6 separate regions of the Mus musculus genome follow, and all the other regions are reported to be linked to region 5. Evidence: microRNA targets listed by miRTarBase, many of them from high-throughput screens and not tested one by one. Region 5 holds a microRNA gene; each other region holds the end of a gene's coding sequence.

The links. The annotated mature microRNA mmu-miR-665-3p reads ACCAGGAGGCUGAGGUCCCU and lies in region 5 at 1,094-1,113, opposite strand. An mRNA with a match to its seed (bases 2 to 7 or 8) in the 3' UTR can be bound and repressed. Matches are read on the target gene's strand: a 7mer-m8 pairs with bases 2 to 8, a 7mer-A1 pairs with bases 2 to 7 and ends in A, and an 8mer does both.
Region 1: the mRNA of Tex9 is a reported target of mmu-miR-665-3p. Seed matches in the 3' UTR shown: 7mer-A1 at 2,391-2,397.
Region 2: miRTarBase lists Zfp385c as a target of mmu-miR-665-3p. Seed matches in the 3' UTR shown: 7mer-A1 at 1,390-1,396.
Region 3: miRTarBase lists Dars2 as a target of mmu-miR-665-3p. Seed matches in the 3' UTR shown: 7mer-A1 at 2,747-2,753.
Region 4: the mRNA of Ttc5 is a reported target of mmu-miR-665-3p. The part of its 3' UTR that is shown has no 7-base or 8-base seed match.
Region 6: the mRNA of Ncan is a reported target of mmu-miR-665-3p. Seed matches in the 3' UTR shown: 8mer at 3,664-3,671, 7mer-m8 at 3,407-3,413 and 7mer-A1 at 2,270-2,276.

The regions. Positions count from the first base shown.
Region 1 is chr9:72,457,574-72,461,660 of GRCm38, reverse strand. Tex9 (testis expressed gene 9) reads left to right here. Exons shown (of 12, transcript NM_009359.4): 12 at 383-3,606. The coding sequence ends at 460. Mns1 (meiosis-specific nuclear structural protein 1) reads right to left here. Exons shown (of 10, transcript NM_008613.3): 10 at 3,085-3,348. The coding sequence ends at 3,268. Among named protein-coding and RNA genes, the nearest start is that of Mns1, 21 kb to the right of the region's middle.
Region 2 is chr11:100,625,307-100,629,393 of GRCm38, reverse strand. Zfp385c (zinc finger protein 385C) reads left to right here. Exons shown (of 9, transcript NM_001373887.1): 9 at 326-1,851. The coding sequence ends at 562. Nkiras2 (NFKB inhibitor interacting Ras-like protein 2) reads right to left here. Exons shown (of 4, transcript NM_028024.2): 4 at 1,792-3,400. The coding sequence ends at 3,161. Among named protein-coding and RNA genes, the nearest start is that of Nkiras2, 4.4 kb to the right of the region's middle.
Region 3 is chr1:161,038,037-161,042,117 of GRCm38, forward strand. Dars2 (aspartyl-tRNA synthetase 2 (mitochondrial)) reads right to left here. Exons shown (of 17, transcript NM_172644.4): 17 at 2,565-3,894. The coding sequence ends at 3,680. Gas5 (growth arrest specific 5) reads left to right here. Exons shown (of 11, transcript NR_166052.1): 9 at 1; 10 at 189-236; 11 at 421-503. It overlaps Snord47 (small nucleolar RNA, C/D box 47), which reads left to right and starts at 56; the gene lies at 56-120. LOC115487640 (a small nucleolar RNA gene) reads left to right here and starts at 272; the gene lies at 272-347.
Region 4 is chr14:50,762,218-50,766,287 of GRCm38, forward strand. Ttc5 (tetratricopeptide repeat domain 5) reads right to left here. Exons shown (of 10, transcript NM_001080949.2): 10 at 3,192-3,805. The coding sequence ends at 3,686. Among named protein-coding and RNA genes, the nearest start is that of Olfr749, 20 kb to the left of the region's middle.
Region 5 is chr12:109,583,394-109,587,480 of GRCm38, reverse strand. Mir665 (microRNA 665) reads right to left here and starts at 1,167; the gene lies at 1,074-1,167. Mir337 (microRNA 337) reads right to left here and starts at 1,692; the gene lies at 1,596-1,692. It overlaps Mir3544 (microRNA 3544), which reads left to right and starts at 1,608; the gene lies at 1,608-1,668. It overlaps Mir540 (microRNA 540), which reads right to left and starts at 1,401; the gene lies at 1,335-1,401. It also overlaps a transcript of Rtl1 not described here.
Region 6 is chr8:70,092,509-70,096,595 of GRCm38, forward strand. Ncan (neurocan) reads right to left here. Exons shown (of 15, transcript NM_007789.3): 15 at 577-3,942. The coding sequence ends at 3,812. Among named protein-coding and RNA genes, the nearest start is that of Mir7066, 8.0 kb to the right of the region's middle.

The DNA of each region.
Region 1 (4,087 bases), not on the chromosome of region 5:
GCACACATACACAGATATGTTTGTATATATATTCCCTCCCAACTACAGAAAGTACCATTCATGAGAATGACTAATTTTAGTGGATTAATTTCCTCTTCAAACTTTGAGCAGTAATTCTAAAACACATTGTATCTTTCTTGAAACATGAAAAAAGACAATTCACAGCCCTCTCTCGTTACAAAGATCAGGTATAATGATATCAAATTATTCTTTTAACAGTAGCTTGGTCTTCATGTAATATCAATTTAAAGTGTTACACTTGCATGGTTAGTATGTATAATCCAACAATAGCTTATTTTTTTGATAGCATATTAACACAAACAAATTTTCTTTTGTTGTGTGTCCATCTCTAAATTGAACAATATATATTTTTTAAAAACAGATGCATATTGAAGCTGCCAAGATGCTGTCTTTCAGCGAGGAGGAGTTTATGAAGGCTCTTGAGTGGGGCAGTTCATGAGTGAGCAACTGCAATGGGATGCTCATTTGATATCAAGTGTAGTCTTCTTGCTGTTCATGAGTAATAAGAACATTTGTGAAATAAAAGAGTTAGATAATGACCTGGTGAAATAAACAGAATGTTTGGGAGGATGTTGGAAGACAAAGCCAGACGGCAACTCTGGCCTGACTTCCTTTTTCATTAGTAGTTATGAAATAAGGAAGCAAGACTTCGACTCTTAATTATCTTTTATGACCTACTAGACCTGGGAGAGGACAGAGAAGATGGCAGGGCAAGATTCTGGAGATCCCCAGCTGCAGCTGCTGAGTCTGCTGCAGGCCTGTGTGCTGTGCACGGCTGCTGCATCCAACAGCAGTGATGCAGGCTGGGACCAGAGGCTGTTGTGCAGGGGCTATGTGTGTGTTCTCTTGTTCAGTGGTTGTGCACACAGGAGACAAAATAGAGATGGAAACAGGGACACACTTACTGTACCAAAGGATCATAAGTATAAGTGATTATGAACAATTTGGATAACACAGAATGTTTAATTTCTGGAGATATACTACCAAGAATTAACTAAGATAGAAAAACCTGGACACACCCATAGTAAGAAGGGAGATCAAGTAGATCAAATCCATAATAAAAAGCTCTATTGGGAGCTGGTGTGATGGCACAGTGGTTACGGAGGGCATTGCTGCTATTGCAGAGGACCCAAATTCAGTTCCCAGCACCCACAGGGCTGCTCACAGCCACCTTTAACTCCAGCTCTAGGGGTTCAAGGCCCTTTTCTGGCCTCCATTGACCTCTGCACAAACGGGATACATAGACATGCACTCAGGGATACACATAAAATAAAAATAAATATTTAAAAAAATAAATCTCCTCAAAGAAAAACACAGGACCTGACGGCTTCACTGCCAGCTTCTACCAAACATTTAAAGATTGGCAGTTCTTCTCAAACTATTCCAAAACAGTGACATAAAGACATTTCCACATTCAAGTATGCTCATCCTGATACCGAAATCATGCAAGAGCAACAAACAAAACCAAGCCAACAACTCCCATAGTCCAGTATCTCTGATCAACTCAGATGCAGAAATGCTCCCCAGAACACCAGCAAACAACTTCTATACATCAAAAGATCCCTCATCACGATGCAGTGGGATTCAACCTAGATGATTTGACATTCAAATCAGTAAGCATGTCACACTGACAGAATGAAGAAAAGGTTTGTAAATTCAGTAGAGAGAAAAGCCCAAGACTGAGCAACACTTCATGACAAAACTGTCAGCAAAGTAGGTTACAGAAGGAATGTGCTGTAACGTGAGTCATATGTGACAAACCCACAGCCAACACACTGAACAGGGAAAAGCTGAAGCTTAGCCCCACGTATTTGTGTATCCAATCCTTTTATATTGTGACATGATATTGTGATCTTCAGAGTTCATACTGAAAGACTATGCAACAGAATTACAAATTAAAAAAATGAATTTTGTATAACATTTTAAGTTTGCTATTTGTAGTGGTCTGCATTAATCACATCCCAGGTTGCCCATCCCTATAAGACCTGAAATCAGACAGTTAAGAGCAATGGCTAGGCAGAGAGCACACGCCTTTAATCCCAGCACTCAGGAGGTAGAAGCAGGAAGATTTCTGTGAGTTCGAGGTTAGCCTGGACAGCCAGGCCCACACAGTGAAACTCTGTTTCCACCCTCTCCAAAACCTCCCCAAAAGAGCACTAGTTGCTCTTGCAGAGAACCCAGGTTTGGTTCCCACCGTGCGTATGGTCCCAGTCATCTGTAACTCCAGTTCCAGAGGCTAGGACACCGTCTTGAGGCATTCTTGAGCTCTGCAGACATCTAGTACACATATATGCAGGCAAGCACATGTAAAATTTTTTTTTTTTTTTTTTGGTTTTTCGAGACAGGGTTTCTCTGTGTAGCCCTGGCTGTCCTGGAACTCGCTCTGTAGACCAGGCTGGCCTCGAACTCAGAAATCCGCCTGCCTCTGCCTCCTGAGTGCGCCACCACGCCCGGCTCGTAAAATATTTTTTTAATCTTAGCAGAAATGCTAATCAAATATAACCAGCAAGAGAAAGAAAAATATGAAGTCTGGGAACAAAGAAGTTGGGTTGTCCATTATGAAAAATGGTTGAGATCAAATCAACTGAGTAAAGTTACAAGGTAAGAAAACCAATAGGCACACATCAGGAGACTGACAGCACAAATGAAAGCCTTGAGCTGTAGCTCAGTGGCAGAGCACTTACAGAACATGTATGAGACCCCAGATCCAGTCCCTAGCATAGCACAAGCCAAAGTAGTGGCATTTTTATACATCAGTGGCAGAATATCAGAGAAAATCTACAGTACCCCATTTGTAGTATCTAACAAAAACATTTTAGACTAAATTTTACCAAGGAGATTGAAGATGGCTGTATTGAAAACTACAAAATATTGATGACAGAAACTTGAGAGAAGTAAATAGCTGTTTAATGTTTATGAATTAGAAAAGTGTCTTACATACTGCCCAGAGAGGTCTGTCGTCTCCCTGTAGTGAGCTGCTGTGTTTGGCCTCTGGTTCTGTGGAATTCTGTGATATGATGGCATCATAGAATGCATAGTAAATAAAAATGACTAATTCTGCAGTTAAAGTACTAATGTGTTTAATTTTTGTCAAACTGTATACATGATGAAATAGGAGGATGTTTTAGAACATGCAGATAGACCAGGGCCTACTGTCACCAACTGTAAAACAGCAGTTACGCTGACATCTAGTGGCAGCATCTGAGCACTCCAGGTCTCGCCCGGCCTTGCTATGAAGACTCGGCTTCAGACTCCATCCCTTTTCTGATAGGCCTTCCTGAACTCTTCACCAAGCATGTCAACATCGTCTTCTCTTTTAAACACTCCCTACAAAGAAGCATTTTGTTGGTTACTTTGAACATTAGAGTATTTCACTGAATTTTCTTAGGACTAACACACACAGACATGAAGCTAATGAAGAAATGCAGATAATGAGATCGATTATTGAAACTTAATTTTAAAATATCAGAAAGACTATGGCTTCAAGTATATCTGAATATCACTGAGCTGCTCCCAGTTCCTGATTACTCAACCTCAGAGTATTAAGCTGTGCTAGGGGCTGCTGTGCCTTATGCTCTAACTCCGGCCGTGACTGCCTACATTACAGGCTACTGTCCGGACGCACTCTTTCTGCCTCAGTCTATCAGCGGCTCATTCTGAGACACTGAATTTTACTCTTAACGGGTCCCGGCTGCCCTCCAGAAGTATTTTCTCCACTCAGATGTTGAAGTCCAAAGGCCCTCTCAGCATATATATAGTCTGTTTTATTAAATATACCAATCATGGGTGAATTTTGGCATCAGGCTATCATGCGTATTTAAATCTACCTAACTAATTAGACTTTAATACACTACGGCTAGCAACTTTTAATAATTTTCCTTTTTCTTTCATTGGTTAGGGACTGAACACACTTGATTCTGCATAGTCAATAAAGACTTCAAGCAATATGACTCATATATTTGAAGGACTGTGGCTTTATGAATCTCCATGTTTATATGGATAAGGAAGCTAATTATTAGCAGTCACAATGTGTCTCAAATACTATACATGAAAATTCATTGCCTAT
Region 2 (4,087 bases), not on the chromosome of region 5:
TACCCAGAGGAATTTCCTGCGGGTGGGCTGGGCCTAAGGTCATAATATGAAGGGCAAAAGCCAGGGGTGGGTGTGCTTATCCTAGAGACCATCTCTTCCTACCCCTCACAGTGCGGCCCGTCCCGAGGCTGTCCATCTGCTGGGCAGGAAGACAGCTGGCACAGCAAGGCCCCCTGGCATGACTGTTTGGGGGCGGGAGGGAGGAGGTTAGACTTAGAACTCTAAAAGGCACGTCCCCGAGGCAAAAAGGCTCCTGGATGTGTCCCAGGGAGGGGGCGGGCTTCTCTGGTATCAGAGACCCTCTCCATTTCTGTTTTTATTGTAGTCTAAATTGGCCTTGCAGAAGCAACTCACCAAGACGCTGGCAGCCCGCTTCCTGCCTGGTCCGCTGCCCACCACAGCTGCTGCCATCTGTGCCCTGCCAGGGCCCCTGACCCTCCGGCCTGCTGCAACAGCAGCTGCTACCCTCTTCCCAGCTCCTGTCCTGGGCCCAGCTCTGTTTCGTTCTCCAGCAGGAGCTGTCCGCCCTGCTGCAGGACCCATCCTTTTTGCTCCCTATTAGTGGACTCAGAATGGCCACATCCTATCTCTTCCAGTCAGACACTTGTCTCCACATCCCACAGAGACTGCCTTTTGCAGTTTCCGGGTTCCCACCCAACCTGGGTAGCTGCCCTTCACTCAGACTGGGGTTCTCCAGTCCCCTGGCTCTGAGGACCACCACTACCCTCCTTTCCTGGGCCAGCCCTAGGCTGCCCTGCATCTATGATTTAACAAATCCCAAAGATCTATGCAAAAACCACAGCCCCAGTCTCATGGTGCTCTCATACCCAGACCCCAACTAGAGACGTACACAGAGCTGACAGCATTTTAGCTCCCAAGGGCCAGCCTCTCCTGCCATGTTCTAGAGCGGTCTGGACAATCACTAGAGACAGGGATCTCAAACTGAAGTGGGCTGGAACCTATCAGGCATATTTACCATGGGGTAGCCAGGTATGGTGGTGCATTCCTGCAATCCTAGGGCCTGGATTACGAGTTCAAAGTCAGTTTGAGCCATATAGCTAGACACTGTCTCAAACACCAAAACAACCACAAGTAGACTACAGGGTATGTATGGCAAAGGGCCATAGAGATAAGAGGCCCCAAAGTTCTTAAAAAATGTACTGTGAAAGTGAGGCAGAGTTGAGATGACGCGCCATCTGCTCGTGGGGGTGGGGCTTGAAGGGAAAAGTGGTGTTCAGGCTGGGCCTGACTGTGTCATCCTGGCTGGTCTGGGACTGTATGCTCAGGCTGGCAAACTCAAAAAATCTACCTGCCTCTGCCTCTTAAGTAACGGAACTAAAGGCACACACCACCCTGCCTGGTCTGGCTTTGACACAATAGCCCTGGCTGTCCTGGAACTCACTTTGTAGACCAGGCTGGCCTCGAACTCAGAAATCTGCCTGCCTCTGCCTCCCGAGTGCTGGGACTAAAGGCGTGCACCACCACACCCGGCACTACAGCTCTTCTTATCTTAGCCTTTCAGTGGTTTCTCTTGAACCCCAACTCTAAAGGGGCTCTGGGTCTCCCTCAGCCTAGGGACTCTCCATTCCACACTGGGTCTGGCCATCCCAAGTGTGGCGTTTCGGGCTGGTACATGGTCCAGTAAACCCTCAAGATCAACTTTCATGTCACCAAAGCCAGTGCCATTCCCCCATTCGACATGGGATTTCACCAGGATCCACCTATATCCCCCTTTTTTTGAAAGATATTTCCAATGGGACAAGAAAAGGGGTAGGGGACGGGAAACTTTTTGATAATAGCAGTTGTGGTTTTATTGTGTCCAACACATCAATAAATGAACTTCAAGCCTGAGCCTGTAGGTGCCCAGACTCTCCTTGCCCAGGCCTGGGCACCAGCCCCCCCTCGCCTGTTCTAGGAGGAGGAGAGGGTATTGGAGGTGGCCTGGCCATAGTGTTTAACCCGTGTGAGGTGTGCACATCAGAAGCACGGAGTGGGCACCGCAGGTTGTGGGTGATAAGCTCACTTGATAGCACAAGCCTCTGATGGAAGGCTTGTCAGCTCCTGGGAAGCTGCTACTGGGCTGCCTGGTTCTCTTCAGGCATCTGAGGTAAGAAAGAAGGGCTGGGGGCGCGGCTTATCCCACCTTCACCAGAGCAGCAGGTGCATAAATACAGAGAGAGTATAAATATAAAGTCCAGCTACTAGCCAAAACCAACCAGGAGGGATGGACACTACCCTGTTGGGCAGGTTAATAGACAGCCGCTCGCTCGCAGCACTGAGCAGAGTGCACCCCTGCCCCCTGGTGGTTAAGAGAGGCCGTCCAGCCTCCAGGGCCGGTAGGTGTAGCACCTTAAAGAGGGTGGAGCAGGGGCAGAAGACACACAGGAGGCCCAAGCCACCAGCTTTAGAAAAGTCACAGCGCTACCCGTGGCTCTAGGTGACATCCAAGCTTCTGTCAACTCACATACGAGAAGACTGACGCTCAGGGGAGAAGAGTCTTGCTAAGTCTCAGGGCATGTGACAGCCCAGTCATCACTCCACTCTACCTCAGCCAATAAGACCTCTGCTCCTGGAACAGGAAGAGGAAGTGAAACAACTGGGAGATGGGTAGAGGTCAAACAGGAAATGCCACTCCCAGGAGCCTGACTTTACCAGGCCTTGAACAGGCCAGAGGAAAGGTCAGGGTGGAGGATGAGGAACCAACCCTAAGCCAGCTCGCACAAATGTATGCTTACAGTACCTAGTCTTTTGTTTTAAGGCTGGTACTGTGTGTATGTTAGTGGCAGGAAATTCAGAGTTGGGATCCCTGATAGGAGGCAGATCCTGGACTGGGCGCGTTGGCATGACGGCCCTGCTTCCTGCACCAGGCAGATGGAAGGGACACTAACCCATAAGTGTCTAGGTGACAGTGGAGAAAATATGGTCAGCTGGGGGAGGGGTGGGAACTATTATGGAAGGTCAAGGGAGGGCCAACAATCAAGTTCACTTGCACTTCTTGGAGTTAAGAGAGGACAAAGGTGGCACTGGCCTGGGCCAGCCCAGCTTCCTGTCCTAGAGGGTCACTCCCCTACCGACTGGGAAGAACAGCTTGCTTATGCACCCTGTGCTCGCCACCCATCCCGGAATGGGCTTGGAATGGTGAAGCAAGAAGGGCAGCTATTCAGCCATCCAAGGAGCCGCTGCCCTTGTTCTTGCGGCTGAGGGGGAAGGCAGACTTGCTCTGCGGCTGGGTCATCTTGCTGGCCAGGTAGATGAAAGGCTCTAGGAGGGAGCGTCGGTCAGCCACCGACACCTCCCATAGCTTCACCTTCTCGGACTTGGCCCAGTGCTGGGCCACGTCAGGGTCTACGCGACGCTGCTCCTGCAGGTCACACTTGTTGCCAAGGACCACGATGGTGACCTGGAGAGGACAGATGAGAACAGGGACTGTCGGCATGCAGTGGCTCAGGACCAGGTGTAGCCATCAGCTGTTTCTGGCCAACAGCTGGGGAGGATGCAGTTCCCAGAGGACTTCTGGAGGACTAGCAAGAACACAGAGCCCCAGAGAAGGAAAACTAGACCGCGCTTCATGTGCTAGGAGGGAACCTAGTAAACCAAGAAGAAGACTCAGCGATTGAGCTCTCCTATCATGTGGCCCACTACCTCTTGTGTGGGTTGAAGACCCTCTCCAATGATCTTCCCGGCCTTCTAGCTCCTAAACTACCTCTTGGCAAATGCGCACAACTGGGAATCATGCCAGCACCCTGTCTCAGTCAGGGTTTCTATTCCTGCACAAAACATCATGACCAAGAAGCAAGTTGGGGAGGAAAGGGTTGATTCAGCTTGCATTTTCCACATTGCTGTTCATCATCAAAGGAAGTCAGGACTGAAACTCAAGCAGGGCAGGAAGCAGGAGCTGATGCAGAGGCCATGGAGGGATGTTCTTTACTGGCTTGCTTCTCAGCTTGCTTTCTTATAGAACCCAAGACTACTAGCCCAGGGATGGCACCACCCACAAGGGGCCCTCCACTCTTGATCACTAATTGAGAAAATGCCCCACAGCAGGATCTTATGGAGGCATTTCCTCACCTTAAGTGCCTTTCTCTGT
Region 3 (4,081 bases), not on the chromosome of region 5:
AGTAAGTCTGTCACTTGTTTTTGTACAGATTGTAATATAGCTTGTAACCAGTGATGTGATGATTCTGCCAAATGATACAAAGTGATATCACCTTTAAACCGTTCCATTTTATTTCTGAGGTTACTATACTAACATGTAAAATTTAACTACTCTAAGCCAGAGAAGTAAGTCAGTCTTTGTTTTCTTAGGGCTCCTGTGACAAGTGGACATGCAGTGACTGCACCTTTGTTTCTGAGGTGAGAACTGCAAATGCTTAACCGGGAACCTACTCCAGAATACATGATGATCTCACACAACTTGAACTCTCTCACTGATTACTTGATGATAGTAAAAGATCTGATGTTCTGTGTTTTAACAGTTACCATTTAAGTTAAAATTGTAGAAAAGTGTTTAACAGCTACCTTCTGTTGGTTGTTGCAGGTGCCTGGATGGAGGCTCAAATAGAAGATGGTGTCAGATATATTGTGTTAAAATTTTACCATTAAAGTGTATTATAACATGAACTGTGAAGTGTGCATTTTGTTCTGATGAGCACATTGTGGGGAGTTCACATTAGACATTTTTAAATCTATTAGCTGCCCAGTGACTGGATGGTATTGGTGTCAGTATAGTTTGTCTTTTTGTGCTTATAAGCACAAGCCATTATTTTTTTTTAAGATTTTTTTATTTATTATATGTAAGTACACTGTAGCTGTCTTCAGACACTCCAGAAGAGGGCATCAGATCTTGTTACAAATGGTTGTGAGCCACCATGTGGTTGCTGGGATTTGAACTCTGGACCTTCGGAAGAGCAGTTAGTACATCTCTCCAGCCCTAGAACACTTTTCTTATATCTTATAAAACTAAATATTTCATGGAGTATGCAAAGGGGAGTACAGTCACAAATCAGTTTGCCTGGAAATAGTTTTTTTTTCTCTTTCCTTTCTCAACACAATCTAAGATGAACCAAAAGAGAAGTGTGCTCTTACACACTGAGCCATCTCACCAGCCTCAAGCCATTATTCTGTTTGACATTTTAAATTAATAGGAACAGCGTTAACCAGAACTGGACTGACTGGTGGAGGTGGTATTTTCACTTTTGGCAGGTGACAGTGTCTGCTGAGTCTTACATCCTGAATGTCTAATCAGTTATGCAGTCTGAGTGGGTATACCAGCCCTTTAAAGGTCTGGAGATGGCCTGTAGGGGCACAGGTGTGAGGGAAAATTTGAAGTATAAACCTGGAAGGTAAAAGCCTAGACCTTGCAGTCCTGTTAAAGTGTTGTCCCCATGCCTAGGACTTTTGCAGTTATATATACCACCAGGCCTAACTCAGCATTCCTAAATTAGGAGGAACACTGAGGCTAATTGGCTCTTAGGTTTGATACTGTTCACTCTGGTCTGTTGGGCTCAGTTCTTGAGACCACGGAAACTACAATCCTTAATCTAACAAGTACAGTTTGGGATTCGTGCTGGGTGTGGTGGCCCCAAAGGAAAAGTTGAGGCTATTTTGTTTAGTCCTTTGGCTGTAGATAGTATAGGTAACTGGTCAGGGGTCCTTAGAACACTGGTTCCAGGCAAAATGTGTAGGTATTTGGAGCTGTACCTCTACAAGCTTTAGTCCCTGGGAATGGGGGCAGTGTTTCAATGCTCAACAGTTACCCTGGAACACATAGCTAAACATCTCATTTGGTGATTTATATTCTACACATAGTCTTACTGAAATGGATTTAAATTCCATCACATTCTTGGGTTGTGAGGATTTAAATTTTTCACATGCTAGTCACATACCTTTACTGTTAGTGGTCCATTTGTATGGTAATGCATGTGAAGAGGTCAGGATGACCTACACAAGTCTTCCTTTCACAATGTGGAATCCAGCTATCCAGTCATCTTGCCTGGCTGGTCTCTTGGAGGCAGGTTGCCTTGATGGGATTTCCATGTAGATCAGGCTGGTCTCAAACTTGGATCTGCCTAGGATCAAAGGTCTGTGCTTACTAGGACCAGCTGGGAGTTACTGGTCTGTTTTAAGACACCCATGGTTCCTTCTTCCAGAACACAAGGTCAGGGTTTCATTCACTGGATCTCTACAGTCACGCCCTTAGCTCAGATCTACCAGCCTCTGATCAAGTAGGGAGTCATCTGCCTCCTTCCACTTCAGCACCCTTAGCACTGCCTCATTAGGCCTTTAGATTGTGTATGATACTGGTGATTGAACCACTGAGCTGTGTACAACTGTCCTTCCAGGTCTCAGCTGCTTTGCCATCCTCCGAGGAATCGCCTAGTCCTGCAGTGAGTTTGTGTGTAGGGGATAGGGGGCAGAGAAGCCTTAGGGTGTTAAGGGGAGTGGTTTCCCCTTTCAGAGAAGGAATAGATGTTAGGGGTGGGAGGGGGTGCTGATAAACTCATTTGAATGTTTACTACTAGAGTGACATTTTTTAGAAAGGATTAGGTTTGTGACTGGAGGCTTTAAAACTGTCAAGAACCCATGCCTTTAGTCCCAGCACCAGGGAGGCAGAAGCAGCAGATCCCCAGAAGTTTGAGGCCAGCTTGGTCTACAGGAAAGAGTTCAGGACATGCAGGGCTACACAGAGAAACTGATTTTTGAAAGCCTTTAAGTAAGCAAGTTTCAGGGCTACAGAGAGTAATCCTGTCTTGAAAAACCATAAACAAGAACCACAGGCAGTGGTGGCACATGCTAATCCCAGCACTTAGGAGGCAGAGGCAGGCGGATTTGAGTTCAAGGCCAGTCTGGTCTACAGAGTGAGTTCCAGGACAGTCAGGGCTACACAGAAAAACCCTGTCTCGAAAACAGGCAAACAAAAAAAAACCATAAAAAAGAGCCCATGCCAGGAAAACTGTCTTGAAAAGCCATAAGAAAGCAAATAATTCTGTGCCAGGCCCAGTCTTCCAGCAACAGCAGGTCAGGATGTAGAACTCTCAGCTACTTCTATATCATGTCTGTGTTTGCCACCATGCTTACAGCTAAAACTATAAACCAGCACCAACTAAATGCTTTATAAAGAGTTGCTTTGGTTGTGGTGTCTCCTCACAGCAATAGAACAGTGGTTAGGACAGCTGCATTTCAGTCCTGTTTTACAGTATTTCAAATCACATATCTGCCACAAATGTAACCTCATGATTCTGGCAACAAGAGATCTGTGAGACAGCCAGGACAAGTGTCATTCACATTATATAAGCAGCTGGGGCAGCTAAGAGACATTTGTAGCTTGCTTAAGGTACAACACAATAGAATTCTGTTACTTGTAATTTTTTTTTTTGATCCTACTATACTACTTAGAACATTATATTGATGGCTGAAAGATTACCACAAAGTTTAATTTATGGTTCTAATGAGGCTAGATGAACTGAAACCTTGCTGCATTAACTGGCCAGTGTACAGAGGCAACCATGTTGTATTATCCTTATTCTAAATAACTTATCTGGGTATAGAAACATGCTTGGAAAACAGGAAGACTCTAAATACTCAATAAAGAGATTTTTTTGTTTGTTTGTTTCATTTGACAATTTTCCAATTAAAAAACTTCCACAGACAGTCCTAATGGTACACATGACCAAGTCACAATTGTGTAGCTTCTCTTTCTTACTCGGTAATGATTGCTTCTACACAGACATTTGGTTCTAAAGTCTGTGGCAGGTCTGGATCTTAATTTAAGTTTGGTGAAGCAGAGAAGACAAAAGTTAAGAGCTCAAGTGTTTGGAAGGTGTGGCGGATGCACTCTCCTCTTCTGAGTCTGCTGGCCACAAGACGTGGATATGGTAAGGCTTCAGCTCTTCTGGAGACACGGAGTCTGGAGCATTGCTCATAAGGTCCTGTCCTCGGTAGGATTTAGGGAAGGCTATGACATCTCTGATGCTGGGTGCTCCCGTGACAAGACATACCAGTCTGTCTAACCCTGTGATGTAAAATACAAAGTGAACATGATGAGAAATGTATAGCTTTTAGCTCTGAAAATAACTTTTTTGGGGGTGCGGAGGGTGTCAAGACAGGGTTTAGTCCTGGGTTGTCATGGAACTCACTCTGTAGACCAGGCTAGCCTTGAATGCAGAGATCCACTTGCCTCTGCCTCCTGAATCCTGGGA
Region 4 (4,070 bases), not on the chromosome of region 5:
AACGCATGAAATTCAAGAAGAACGAAGACCAAAGTGTGGACACTTTACCCTTTCTTAGAAATGGGAACAAAACACCCATAGAAGGAGTTACAGAGACAAAATTTGGAGCTGTGACGAAAGGATGGACCATCTAGTGACTGCCATATGCAGGGATCCATCCCATAATCAGCTTCCAAATGCTGACACCATTGCATACACTAGCAAGATTTTGCTGAAAGGACCCAGTTATAGCTCTCTCTTGTGAGACTATGCCGGGGCCTAGCAAACACAGAAGTGGATGCTCATAGTCAGCTATTGGATGGGTCACATGGTCCCTAATGGAGGAGCTAGAGAAATTACCCAAGGAGCTAAAGGGAACTGCAACCCTATAGGTGGAACAACAATATGAACTAACCAGTACCCGGGAGCTCTTGTCTCTAGCTGCATATGTATCAAAAGATGGCCTAGTCGGCCATCACTGCAAAGAGAGGCCCATTGGACTTGCAAACTTTATATGCCCCAGTACAGGGGAACGCCAGGGCCAAAAAGGGGGAGTGGGTGGGTAGGGGATTGGGGGGGGTGGGTATGGGGGACCTTTGGGATAGCATTGAAAATGTAAATGAGGAAAATACCTAATTAAAAAAAAACTGAAAAAGAAAAAAAAAGAATTGGAGAAAGTTTTAGCTAAAGGGGGAAAGGCTTATGGTACTAGTCAAACAAGAAATGCTAAGTTACTGTGCTAAGTCGCCTGTACTACTTATGGAAAGGAGGTACGTGGAGTGTTCAGGGGGAAAGATCGGTGTATCTGATGGCTGCTCGGCAGTCAAGAAGAAAGCAGGAAGAAAGCTGGTCCACATAAAACTCATTGGGGTTTAACTGGCACTTATCAAATTAGGTCCTTCCCATCCCAGAGGCTGGCAGACAGGGAGCCTTATCTCCAGGTGTGGGGAAACAGACAAGCAATCCATTCTTACAGCACTTCAGTTTTCTCAGAGGACTTTCATGGAGACTACTTAACACCAGATACCATTCTTTCTTCCCATGCAGCTTCTGTATTTTATGCCATGTGCATAAATCGAGGAGGTGTGAATGCAGATATCCATACTAGGAAAGGACTGAGGAAAGAGAGAAGCATGGATGAGCAGGAGAGACACAGAATACACATGATATAGAAGATGGAGAGATGGAGCAGTGGATAGAAGCACTTGCTGCTCTTGCAGAGGGCCAGCGTGTGGTTGTAGAGAACAGTTTGACTCCCAATATCCACACCAGGCAGATTACAGCCACCTGTAACTTCGGTTCCAAGGGGATCCACCACCACTGGCCTTCACGGGCACCTACTCTCACAGACACACACCCACACTCTGATACACCCAAGTACACATAGTTAAATGAATTTCAAAAAACAAAACAGTGTGACATGAAAGGAGAAATGGTTTTATGAAGAAGGGGACCCAGAGGAGAACAGGAAGGACCAGAGGGGAAGATGATGGAGTGGCCTAAAAGGGAAGGCCCAGTGGAAAGAAAGAATACATGAAATTGTCACGATGAAGACACACTCCTTTTATGCTAATTAAAAAAAAAGAACACAATGAATAAACTAGATAAGTAATAAGTTTATTCCAGTTTTTGCAATGCAAGGCTGCAAAATAGCTCAGAGGAGCCCTGCCACAGCTTGATCAAGGAGAGAATCTTTCATTACCTGGGAATCTCACGTCCACAGCTATAAAGTAGGATGCTACTTACCTTGTAGGTCTACTGTAACTTTAAATTAGCCACCACATGCTCAACACACTACCCAAGATACAGAGAGAAAACATTTACCCTGGGATGGTGACCACATGTGAGCTGAATTTGATCCCAGGCTCTCAGATTCTGGAGCTGATACTATGTGTAAACCACTCTTCTGCTGTCCCAGAAGTGGACTACGGGCTGGAGGGGTGGCTCAGTGAGTTAAGAGTGCTTGCACCTGAAGCATGAAAACCTGTGTTCAAATCGCCAGCGCCCACATAAAAAGCCAGCCATGGCCACACATGCTCAGGGGACTCTCGTGTTGTGAGGTCAGAGACAGGAGTATCATTTGTACTTGCTCAAGGCCACCAGGTTTAGTGAAGAAATAAGGTGAAGGGTGACAGGATAGCTGACATCTTCCTGGAGCTTCTGCATACGTGTGCACATATACCACATTCATACAAACATACTCACATACATATACATATGTGTACACGCACATCCATGCACACATACATACGTGTGCACATATACCACAATCATACAAATATACTCACATACATATACATATATGCACACGCACATCCATGCATACATACATACAAAATAAAATAGTAAAATTGTCCTATATTAAGACCATTTTTCAAAGAAATTATCCACGCTATAAACACAAACATTATCATAGAATTTTTTGTTTTAAAGCCGCAGCAGTACCAGGCATAGTGATCAACACCTTTAATAGAGGTGATCTGCTCCCAGGAGGCAAAGGCAAGTGGATCTTTGAGTTCAAAGACCAGCCTGGTCTACAAAATGAGTTCTACGTCGTACAAGGCTCTATAATGAGAACCTGAACCAAAAAAATATTTTTTTTATTTTTATTTTTAAAATATAAAAAAAAACAAAACCATAGCAGTGCCAAGGAAATAGCTCGGTGGCTCAGGGCGCTTGCTCTCAAGCATGAGCACCTGGTTTAAGTCTCCAGCATCCATGTAAGGAACCCAGCACAGCTGCATACGCCTGCGACTCCACCACTAAAGGGTAGGAAGAGGTGGACCGCAAGAGCTTGATGGCCAGACAGCCTAGCCAAAACAGCAAGCTTCAGGTTCAGTGAGGGACCCTACCTCACCCCAAACCCTGCTCTGGCCTCCTCACTCACACAGCTGGGAATTCACACCTGCATTTGCACACACACAATACACACAAAGTAAGAAACAAAACTTTTAGGCCTTGTTAGTTGGTTCAGCATACATACTACTCATACATACATACATACATACATACATACATACATACATACGTACATACATACATACTGTTCATGAAGATCTAAGTTCATTTCCCAACACCAGCAACTCTCAACTGCCTCTAATTCCAGATAAACTATTTTGTATAAAACCCAAAAAAGCAGTGCCACTCCAACAGCCTTTACAGATCTTAATACCAAGAATCCCTATAACTGGAGACAATAAAGAGACAGAACTATAGGGTAAATTCTTTTCCAAACAAATTTAATTTTGTTCTAGCCCTAAGGACGAGAAAGAACATTTTTTTTTTAAGACAATCGGAACTTAAACATAAAAATTAAAAAAAAAAAAAAAAAAACACTGCTCAAAAATGAAGCCATTAGAAAGTTGAGCCCCCTCAACAATAAATAGTAAACTGATATGTACATACATATTGGACTCAGGAAGGAGGCGAGAACAGGGATCTCGTGGACTGTCAAAACCTCTCAGGACTTTAGGTCCTGAGTCTCTCATGACATGGTCCCAACAGTTCTATGAGTTCTTTGCTCTTTAAGTCGGCACCTTTGAAGAGGCAGGAAGAATAAACAAGGGTCCCAATGGCTCTGAAGAGGGCTGGAATACAGCAGGGAAAAGGAAAGAGACTCAACTATGTTCCAGGGCAGGGGAAGAGAAGTCCCCATTTCCAACTCGCAGGGTGAGCTTAGCTATGAGACTTCATTGCCTCTACAAGGTCATTCACACTGCGGCCTTGAAGCTACTGTGGCAGAGGCTTGACTGCTGGAGTTCTGTGGCTTTCCATTCACCACCAGCAGAAGAGGCGTTTCCACACGCACGCTGGAGAAGGAATAGTCCTAGAAAAGAAGACAGGGAGATCAGTTCATTCCAGATCTAGGTCAGACAAAAACTCCGGCAAATGAACCTATTCTGCCTACCTCCCTGAACAAAGGAGAGTTTCTGAGACAGATGGGACACCACCAATACAGTTACAAGACTAAGACTGTTCCCTCATTCAAGAAGGCAAATTCTTTGCTTTCTGAGAAAAGGGTGCCACCGGCTCTCAGAGAATCTGCCCTCCTCCAGGGGTTTTAGAAACAGCAGCCAGCCAGATCCACAGGA
Region 5 (4,087 bases):
ACGTGCTAAAACGGTAGGTTATCAGGTTATCGGCGGAGCCACTTATAGAGATTGAAAAACACAACACAAACCTTTTTTTTTCTCCTGGGGAAGAGAAAAGAAAAGAAAGAAATTGGTGTGAAAGTTCCTGCTAGGGGATGATAACATCACTTCCAACCCTGTCAAGGTGAAAACCAGAGGCCAGGCCCTGGCTGCAGACTCCACCCACCAAGGAGCTGCCCCCACTTCCCAGCTTCAGTCCCCAACCAGAGAGCTCTGACAGCATCCAGGAACAAAGAGGAGCAGGGGCCCTCCCTTGCCCACCTTCCCTGTCCTCTCCATTGCTTCCCCTTATAAGATGTCCCTGCAGGTACCAGAGCCAGTGACAGCACACACACAGGACCCTGAGTCCAGAGTTTTACCAGCTCCTCACCAGGCTGGAGCAGAGATCTCCACATGCCTGGGTAACCTGGGCTAACTTGGGCTACCCCCATAGTAAGAAAAGGAAAAGAAAATATTACCCACCCCTCAACTGTCCCATACACCTTAAGCCCTGGTGCTGGGCCCAGGGGACCACATCGTTAGACACGATCTGAGACCTGAGCAGCAAACCTCATCTGGACTTTGATCCACCTGTGTGAGCTGAGAGACACGCATGACCATCTTGCCACCAAGACCGTGCAGGAGCACAAGTAGGAAGAAGGAGATTGGGGGCAGAGGGGGGGACAGGGAAGGGAGAGACAGTGGTGAAGGGGAGGGGGACTGGGTGTGGCCTGGGTCCTCCCTGTCCTGCCCTCAAATCCTTTCACAGCTTCCAGGCTATTCACTCAGGGTGCTCCTGTGTGCCGGGGCTGGCTGCCATAGCTGGTAAATGCAGTTAATAATGGTGGTGTTGTGGGGATGGAGATGGGCCCTGTATGCATGCAATGACCTAGGTATTGGGGTTCAGACTCTACGCCAGCTGCTCATTGTGCTACTGAAGTGTCTGTGGGCACCCGGCCTGGGAGGAGGATGAACAGGGATCTTCTGCACTCCTTAGGGGATCCAGAGTTTGAACTGAATGAGGTGAGACGTCTCCAGAAGGGCTCAAGGAGAGAGTAAGAGGCCGCCTGTAAGGGACCTCAGCCTCCTGGTCATAAAAACATAATCCTGGATAGAGGCAGAGGCCCCTCAAGGAGACCCTGTTCTGGGAGCACTGGTAATGCTCAGCCCTGCCCTGTCTCAGCCCTGTGCCCTGCTCTAGTAACAAAGACCCCATCTCTCAAGGATCCACCCTTTCTGCTAGGAGCTGGGTCCCCTCAGAGGACCTCCAGGAGAGAACGGCTCCTGGAATCCCAGTGGGAGGAGCCCCAGAGTAGGCCCAGGATCGACCTCTGACCTGTCTACCCTTGGCCACAGAGTCAGAGGGTGACCCTTGGCCCAGCCCCAGGGAATGTCCCACCAGGGGTATAGCTCCCCCGCCAAGGAATGATCTCAGGTATGGCCCAGCCCCGGGTATTCCCCTCCAGGAACTGTGGAGAATGGCGAGAAAGCATGCCAGGGGAAAAGAGCGAGCTGAAGACGCGTCCCTAAGCGGCCCAAGGTGCGCGGAGGAGGGTCCGGAGGCCTCACGCGGTTGAAGGGGGTGAAGAAAGGCATCATATAGGAGCTGAATGGCTGTGCAATCAACTCCTGCATGACGCCGTTCCCACCCCCCAACTTCTCACTACACTGGGACCCTCCTCTCCTGAAAAAGCAAGGCAAGAAGCACAGACAACAGGTAGGACAGACTCCCAGGGCTTAGTGTTAGAGGAAGGAAACCAAAGGCCAGCCAGCCCTAGGGCACCTGCAGCACAGTGGAAGCATCTACCCTCCTTGCCCAACCTCACTTCTTATAAACTCTCATGGAGTGACTGGAGCCAATCCAGGGGATGAGGAGGGGGGAGAGGGAGCAGAGGGATGGGAGGGAGAGAGGAGGGGCAAGGGAGCACTGAAGGAGGGGTGGGGAAGCGGAGAGGGAAGGAAGGGTGACTGTGGTCACAGGAGTGTCCTGCTAAGGTCCATCCCGAGTATCCAGTGGGTTCCTCTGCAGACCTAGAAGGGACTCATGGGAACCAGCAGGAGCTTAGACGCCCCAGATGGATCCCCCAAAAAGATGCATGGGTTAAAAGCTACTCAGTGTGGTGAGGGGACAAACTGCAGGTACAGCTAACAACCGCTCCCCAGGTTCTTTGAGTGTCAACTTGAGTTACACTCCTCCATGAATAACTAAAAACCACAAACTGCTTTTGCTTGCCTGTTAGTTTTTTTGTTTGTTTGTTTGTTTTTGAAACAGGATCTGTGTAATCCAGAGTGGATCCCGACTTCTCCATCTTCCTGCCTCAGGCTTCCAAGTGTGGCTATGATTGACAGGCCTCTGTCACCATGGCCAGCTTGAATGGCACATGTGTATCACCTTACATATGAATAAAGTAAAAAAAAAAAATCTTTCCTGACTTGTGCTCTTCTCTTCCTTGTCTGGCACACCCACCAACTGCCAACAAACACTTGTCCCAGCATAGTCTCAGAGAGCAGGGTATAAAGAGGTAGTATGGGGGTGGGAGGGAGTAGTAAGGATGGGAGGCCAGAAGACAGGTGAACACAGGTGGGGAAGGGAGGACTCGGTGTTAAGCCAGGGAGGAAGGGAGCTGCACACGACATGTGAATGACAAAGGGTTAAGGCAGCTCAATGCTGTGGTAAGATGCTGCAGATGTCAGTGGGGCAGGGGAGAGAGAGAAGGGGGGCTCAGGGCAGCATGTGGAACACAGCTGCACATCATCCAGGGCAGAAGAGGGTTGCAAAGGGACATGTATGTGTATGGGAGCATAGGGACATGGCTCACGGGAAGCAGGAGGGTCTCAGGGTGACGTATGTCACAAGGGAGAGATGAAGGATATGATATCCCACGCAAAGAGGGGGTCTTCATGTCATAAAGAAAAGAACAGGGACATCCCATGATGCCTACCTACACAGGGGGGTGTCAGTAACATATGGAGAGATTAAGGGATTAAATCTAGCGGATGGGGAGTGGTCCAAGGCTATACATGGGGGAGAGAATCCATGGTACAGGGGAGAAAAAATGTAAATGTGATGTGCAGAGGAGGGGTAACATGACACATAAAAAGAGGAGGGGCTCAGTATGACTCTTGTACAGGAGAGCCTATGACTCCTGAGAAAGAGACTGGGCTGCATGTGGGACATAAGGAGGAGGGGCTCTGATAGAGGAAATAGGGGCTCGGTGTGACATCTGTCAAGGAAAGTGTTCATCACAAGTGGGGAGAAGGACTAGATGTGACACCTATGAGTTGCTTTGTGACCTGGAGGACATGCACGTCACAGTGTGGTATGTGTAGAGGCAGAGCGCTCCATGTCACAAGGCAAGGGGTGGATGTCTCAACGTGCTGCGTGCAGAGGTGGGGCTTCCCAACATGAAGAGAGAGCGAGAGGAGAAGAGTTCCGTGTACCGCATCTGGAGCACCAGCAGGGTTTGTGGTGACTAAAAGGAACGAGGGCTATGGGACACATGATTTAGGGGCCCTCTCACGATGGAGGAGCTCAGAGTCAGGGAGGGGCCTAAGGTGAATGGGGAGTAAGTGGGATGAAGCTCGGGTGCACAGGGCACACGGGTGGGGCTAGGCTAAGCATGACACACGTGGGGAGAGGTGTTCTCTCTCTAGGACACATGGGTAGAACTCAGGTGACCACGACAGGTGTGAGAGGGGGCATACAGAACGTAGGAAGGGTTAGGCTAAGCATGACACATGTAGAGGAATGGTGCTCTTCAGGACATATGGGTGGAGCTAGGCAAAGCGTGCCCCATTATGGAATTTTCTCTTTAAGACACATGGCTGACAATAGCCTAACCCTAACACAGGATGACAAGAGGAGAGGACTCAGTGTGAGGCCAGCAATAAGACATAAGAAATGTTAACACATGAACACAGAGGGTCTTGGAAGTGCAGCCTGATGGGAGGGGTCTGTCCAAGACAAAGCAGGTGTAGTGGGAAACCATGTAAAGATAGGGAAGAGAAACTTACTCTGACCCAGGTAGGGGAGTGGAGCTGAATGTGATACCCGTGGAGAGATGAG
Region 6 (4,087 bases), not on the chromosome of region 5:
GAGGGAGAAAGAGAGAGGGGAGGAGGGAGAGAGAGAGAAAAAGAAAGAAAGAAAGAAAGAAAGAAAGAAAGAAAGAAAGAAAGAAAGAAAGAAAGAAAGAAAGAAAGGAAGGAAGGAAGAAAGAAAGAGAGAGAAAGAAAGAGAAAGAAAGAGAAAAGATACCTTCTATTTCTCCTGCGGTACCCTACTTTCCCTCTGACCGGGCACAGTGTGTGGCTCCTAATAAGGGCTCAGGGCCCATGGCTGTGGCTCACTTAGTGGAGTGTTTGTATCTCAGTTCACAAAGCGCTCTCCTAGCATTCGTAAAGTTCCCAGCACCCCATAAAACAAACCAGCAGTGGATAGGCAGAGGCATATAGATCACAGAGTTTCAGGCAAGCCTGGTCGAAAGAGACACCCTGTCTCAAAAACAAAACAAATGGGAAACTGATCAGTTCAAGATCCTTCTCAGATGCGTAGGGAATTCTGGGCCTGTCTGGGCTATGTGAGTCATCACTCCAAAGAAATGCAGGCTCTCAGTAAACGAGCAGGCAAGTGAGCGGGTGAGGGGCGGGTGAGGGGGCCACAGGCAAGTTGAACTGTTAAAAAATTTTTATTAAAATGTCCAATAAGTCCATTAACATCCACAGTGTCAGATAGCACAGATCCACGGAACATCAAAGCTCCCAGAAAAACAAAAACAAAACAAAACCCAGCAGAACCTGTAGCCATTCTCGCACATACACACTCCTCCCGCATACTGGCCCAAGCAGACACACCAGGGAGGGGGAAAGCTGGAGATGAGGCTCCAGTCCAGAAAAGCCTAAAGCATGCCCCTCCATGGAGCAGGCAGTTCAGGGGCTAGGAAGAACCTCTGAGCCCCAGCAGGCCTCGCCCTCAATCCCCAGCAGGGGATTGGTGTGGTTCCTTCTGAATTAGAAAATGTTACCAAGAAGCTTTGTCCCCAGTCACAGGGACCTTTACGGATCAGGGTCCAGTTTGCTTTTCTCAACCATTTCCCAAGTCTGCTCGTGTGTGTGTGTGTGTGTGTGTGTGTGTGTGTGTGTGTGTGTGTGTGTGTGACAGCAGGTAAGGATTTTAGGTCTCTTCCCTTAAACATAAAGCAAAATTTGGAGCACAAATCAAGACCAGGGTTTGCGAATCGAACTAAGTTGGTAGCGTTCGAAGCACAGATAAGAGTGCTTGGAGCTCAGTTGACAGAGTGCTTGGAGCTCAGTTGACAGAGTACTTGGAGCTCAGGTGTAGAACATTTACTTAGTATGCACAAATCTCTGGGTTCCATCCCTAGCATTGTATACACCAGTCATAGTGCATACCTGCCGTTTTAGTACTTGGGAAACTGAGGCAGAAGGATCAGGACTTTAAGGTTATCCTCAGCTACTGAGTGAATTCAAGGCCAGACTGAGGCCCTGTCCAAAAAATCAACACTTACAGTAATTATAACGCACAGAAGGAAATTCTTGCTCTAGCTCCTCTATCGTAGTCTGTAACTTTGTCTTTCTCTTACAATCAAGTGGAAATGGGAGACTAAGGACCACGTGGGCTGCTGAGAGGATTCAAGGGCATCTCACAAGGCTTTACACGGCTTCTATTCAGTAACTGCCCCAGGCTTTCATTACCTCCTGTGAGCAATGCAGCTCAGTAAACACTTAGGAAGAGCTGGGCATGGACCCCAGAACCTGTGCACCCATCCCTGCCCTGACCCACCCAATCCTACAGTTTTTGAAATTTTTACTTATTTATTTTGTGCTTGTGCAGTGTGTGTGGGGGGAGAGGGTTGTGCGTGTGTTGGAGAATCACCCACATTGTAGTGTGCAGTGGAGGTCAAATGCTACCCTTTAAGGGTTTGCCGTGATCCTCCAGGCTAGCTGGCTCATGAGCTTCCTATAGTCTCAGCACAGGGATGCTGGCACCAGGGTTCACACCCTACCTGGCTTTTCACTTTTAAAACATGGGTCCCAGGGCTTAAACGGACTTCTTCAGGCTTATGCAGCATCTTTACCCACAGGGCTAAGCTCAGGCTCCACTGTGGCTTTAACACAAATTCATAGATTCTACCCACACTGCATGGGCTCTGTGAGGGACCCTGTCCCTGGCTTGGGAAGTCTTTTCTGGAGTGTAGATGGGAAGAGGGAATCCAAAGTGGATTATTTCACATTTTGAAAAATGTAGAACCGGGCGTGGTGGCGCACACCTTTAATCCCAGCTCTTGGGAGGCAGCGGCAGGCAGATTTCTGAGTGCGAGGCTAGCCTGGTCTACAAAGTGAGTTCCAGGACAGCCAGGGCTACACAGAGAAACCCTGTTTCAAAAAAAAAAAAAAAAAAAAAAAAAAGAAAAAAGAAAAGGAAACGGGGAAAAGGAAAAGAAAAAGAAAAATGTAAAACCAGGCGAGAAGGTGTGTTAGTGTGTGTACATGCATGTGTGTGTGTGTATGTGTGTGTGTTAATTCTAAGAGAATTCTTCTTTCTACCATAGGACCATGAACACTGTAAGCATAAAGTCCATCAGGCAGGATGTGGAAACAGAAGTGGGGTGGGGCAGGGATGGAATCTGAGGCAGGAGATTTATTGAGGTCTGCTAAAAAGACAGGCTCTGGGTTAGAAAACATGGCACCATCTTGGTTCAGGCAGAAGGTTGTCTGTCTCCCTGAGAGATGGAGGGGGAGGATACAGCAGCATCCAGCACATTGTACTCCACTGATCTCACTTCTGTGCACACGGGTGTGGGAGATTTTTCATCACAAAGCCACGAAACTGCCACACACGACGGCGTATGCCTGTCACCTTCAGGTGGTTGAGAAAGGATGATTGCTGTGGCCTGAAACCCAGCCTAGGCTCTGGAGATCTTACGTCAATAAAACCAAAGAAGGCTGGGCAGACAGTTCGCTGAGTTCCAGGTTAGCCTGGTCTATATAGCAAGTTCCAGGCCAGCCAGGGCCGCACAGTGAGGCCCTGTCTCAAAACAAAAACAACCCAAAACAGAACCACCAGATCTTAGCACTGCACTAGACCTGGGGAGTCAGCAAGACACTAGCCCTCCCCACCCCCATCGCTCGGAGTAACCTCCCCTAGGAAGCCAAGGAGGCCAGTGGCTCTAAGAGACATCACTAAAATCAGTATATAAGAGTTCCACACTAGATTTAGTGGTCTGAACCAAGACCAAAGACTAGGGCTGGTTAGCAGAGAGAGCCCTGCTCAGTACTAGGTGCCATGTCCAGCACCAAATAAACCAGGTAGGCATGGTGGTGCAGAGGCAGGAGGATTGAGACTTCAAGGACATCTTTCTACAATAGTGAGTTCGAGGCCAGCCTAGTTTGGGGGTTGGAGGTGTTGGAATTGGGAGGGAGGAAGAAGAAAGGGGAAAAAAAAAGAAAACCAGAGGAGTGGAAGTCACCCTTGGGGGATCCCAGGAGATGGCAGGCCATCATGTTTGCTCTGCTGGTCCTCCACTCAGATACAGTGACTTTAGCCAAACCTTCACCATAGATTCAGGATGGTCCACTGTTTCCTAAGCCTGAATCTCTGGTGCGAAAGCCACTCCCCAGCACACACAGACATACTGTTGCCCCTTGTGGATGCAGACTTCAGGACCCCCTTTAATGGCTGGGAAGTGACCTAGAGGCTCAGCCAGACCAGCATGGCCTCTCAGGCTCAGCCACCCCTTCCAGGAGGACCTCAGTAACAGAGGACCTACCGCAGGGGTGTGGGGCTCTGCAGTGTCCCCACCCTCTCTGGTGGATGCTGGGTTCTGGGTCCCCAAGGAAACACTCTGGAGAAGGTGTGGGGGCTTGTGCTTGATTAGCCTGGATCTTTAGCAGAAATCCCCTTCGTCTTTCTCCCAGTCTTCCGCTGGGTGTCTCTTGTGTTTTCTGTGCTCCTTGCGAGGCTTGTGATGTCGGTGTGGATGGTGGTGGTGTCTACGCATCCGATGTGACCGCCTGGCTGCAGGGATGGGAGAGATGAGAAGGGGTGAAGATGGCTGGCTGGATGCCACTGGCCTCCTCAGAGGGATGCAAAGAGAAAAACACTAGGAAGACAGGTGACCTTGGGAAGCAGAGGCAGGAAGCACAAGGCTAGCCAGACCTGC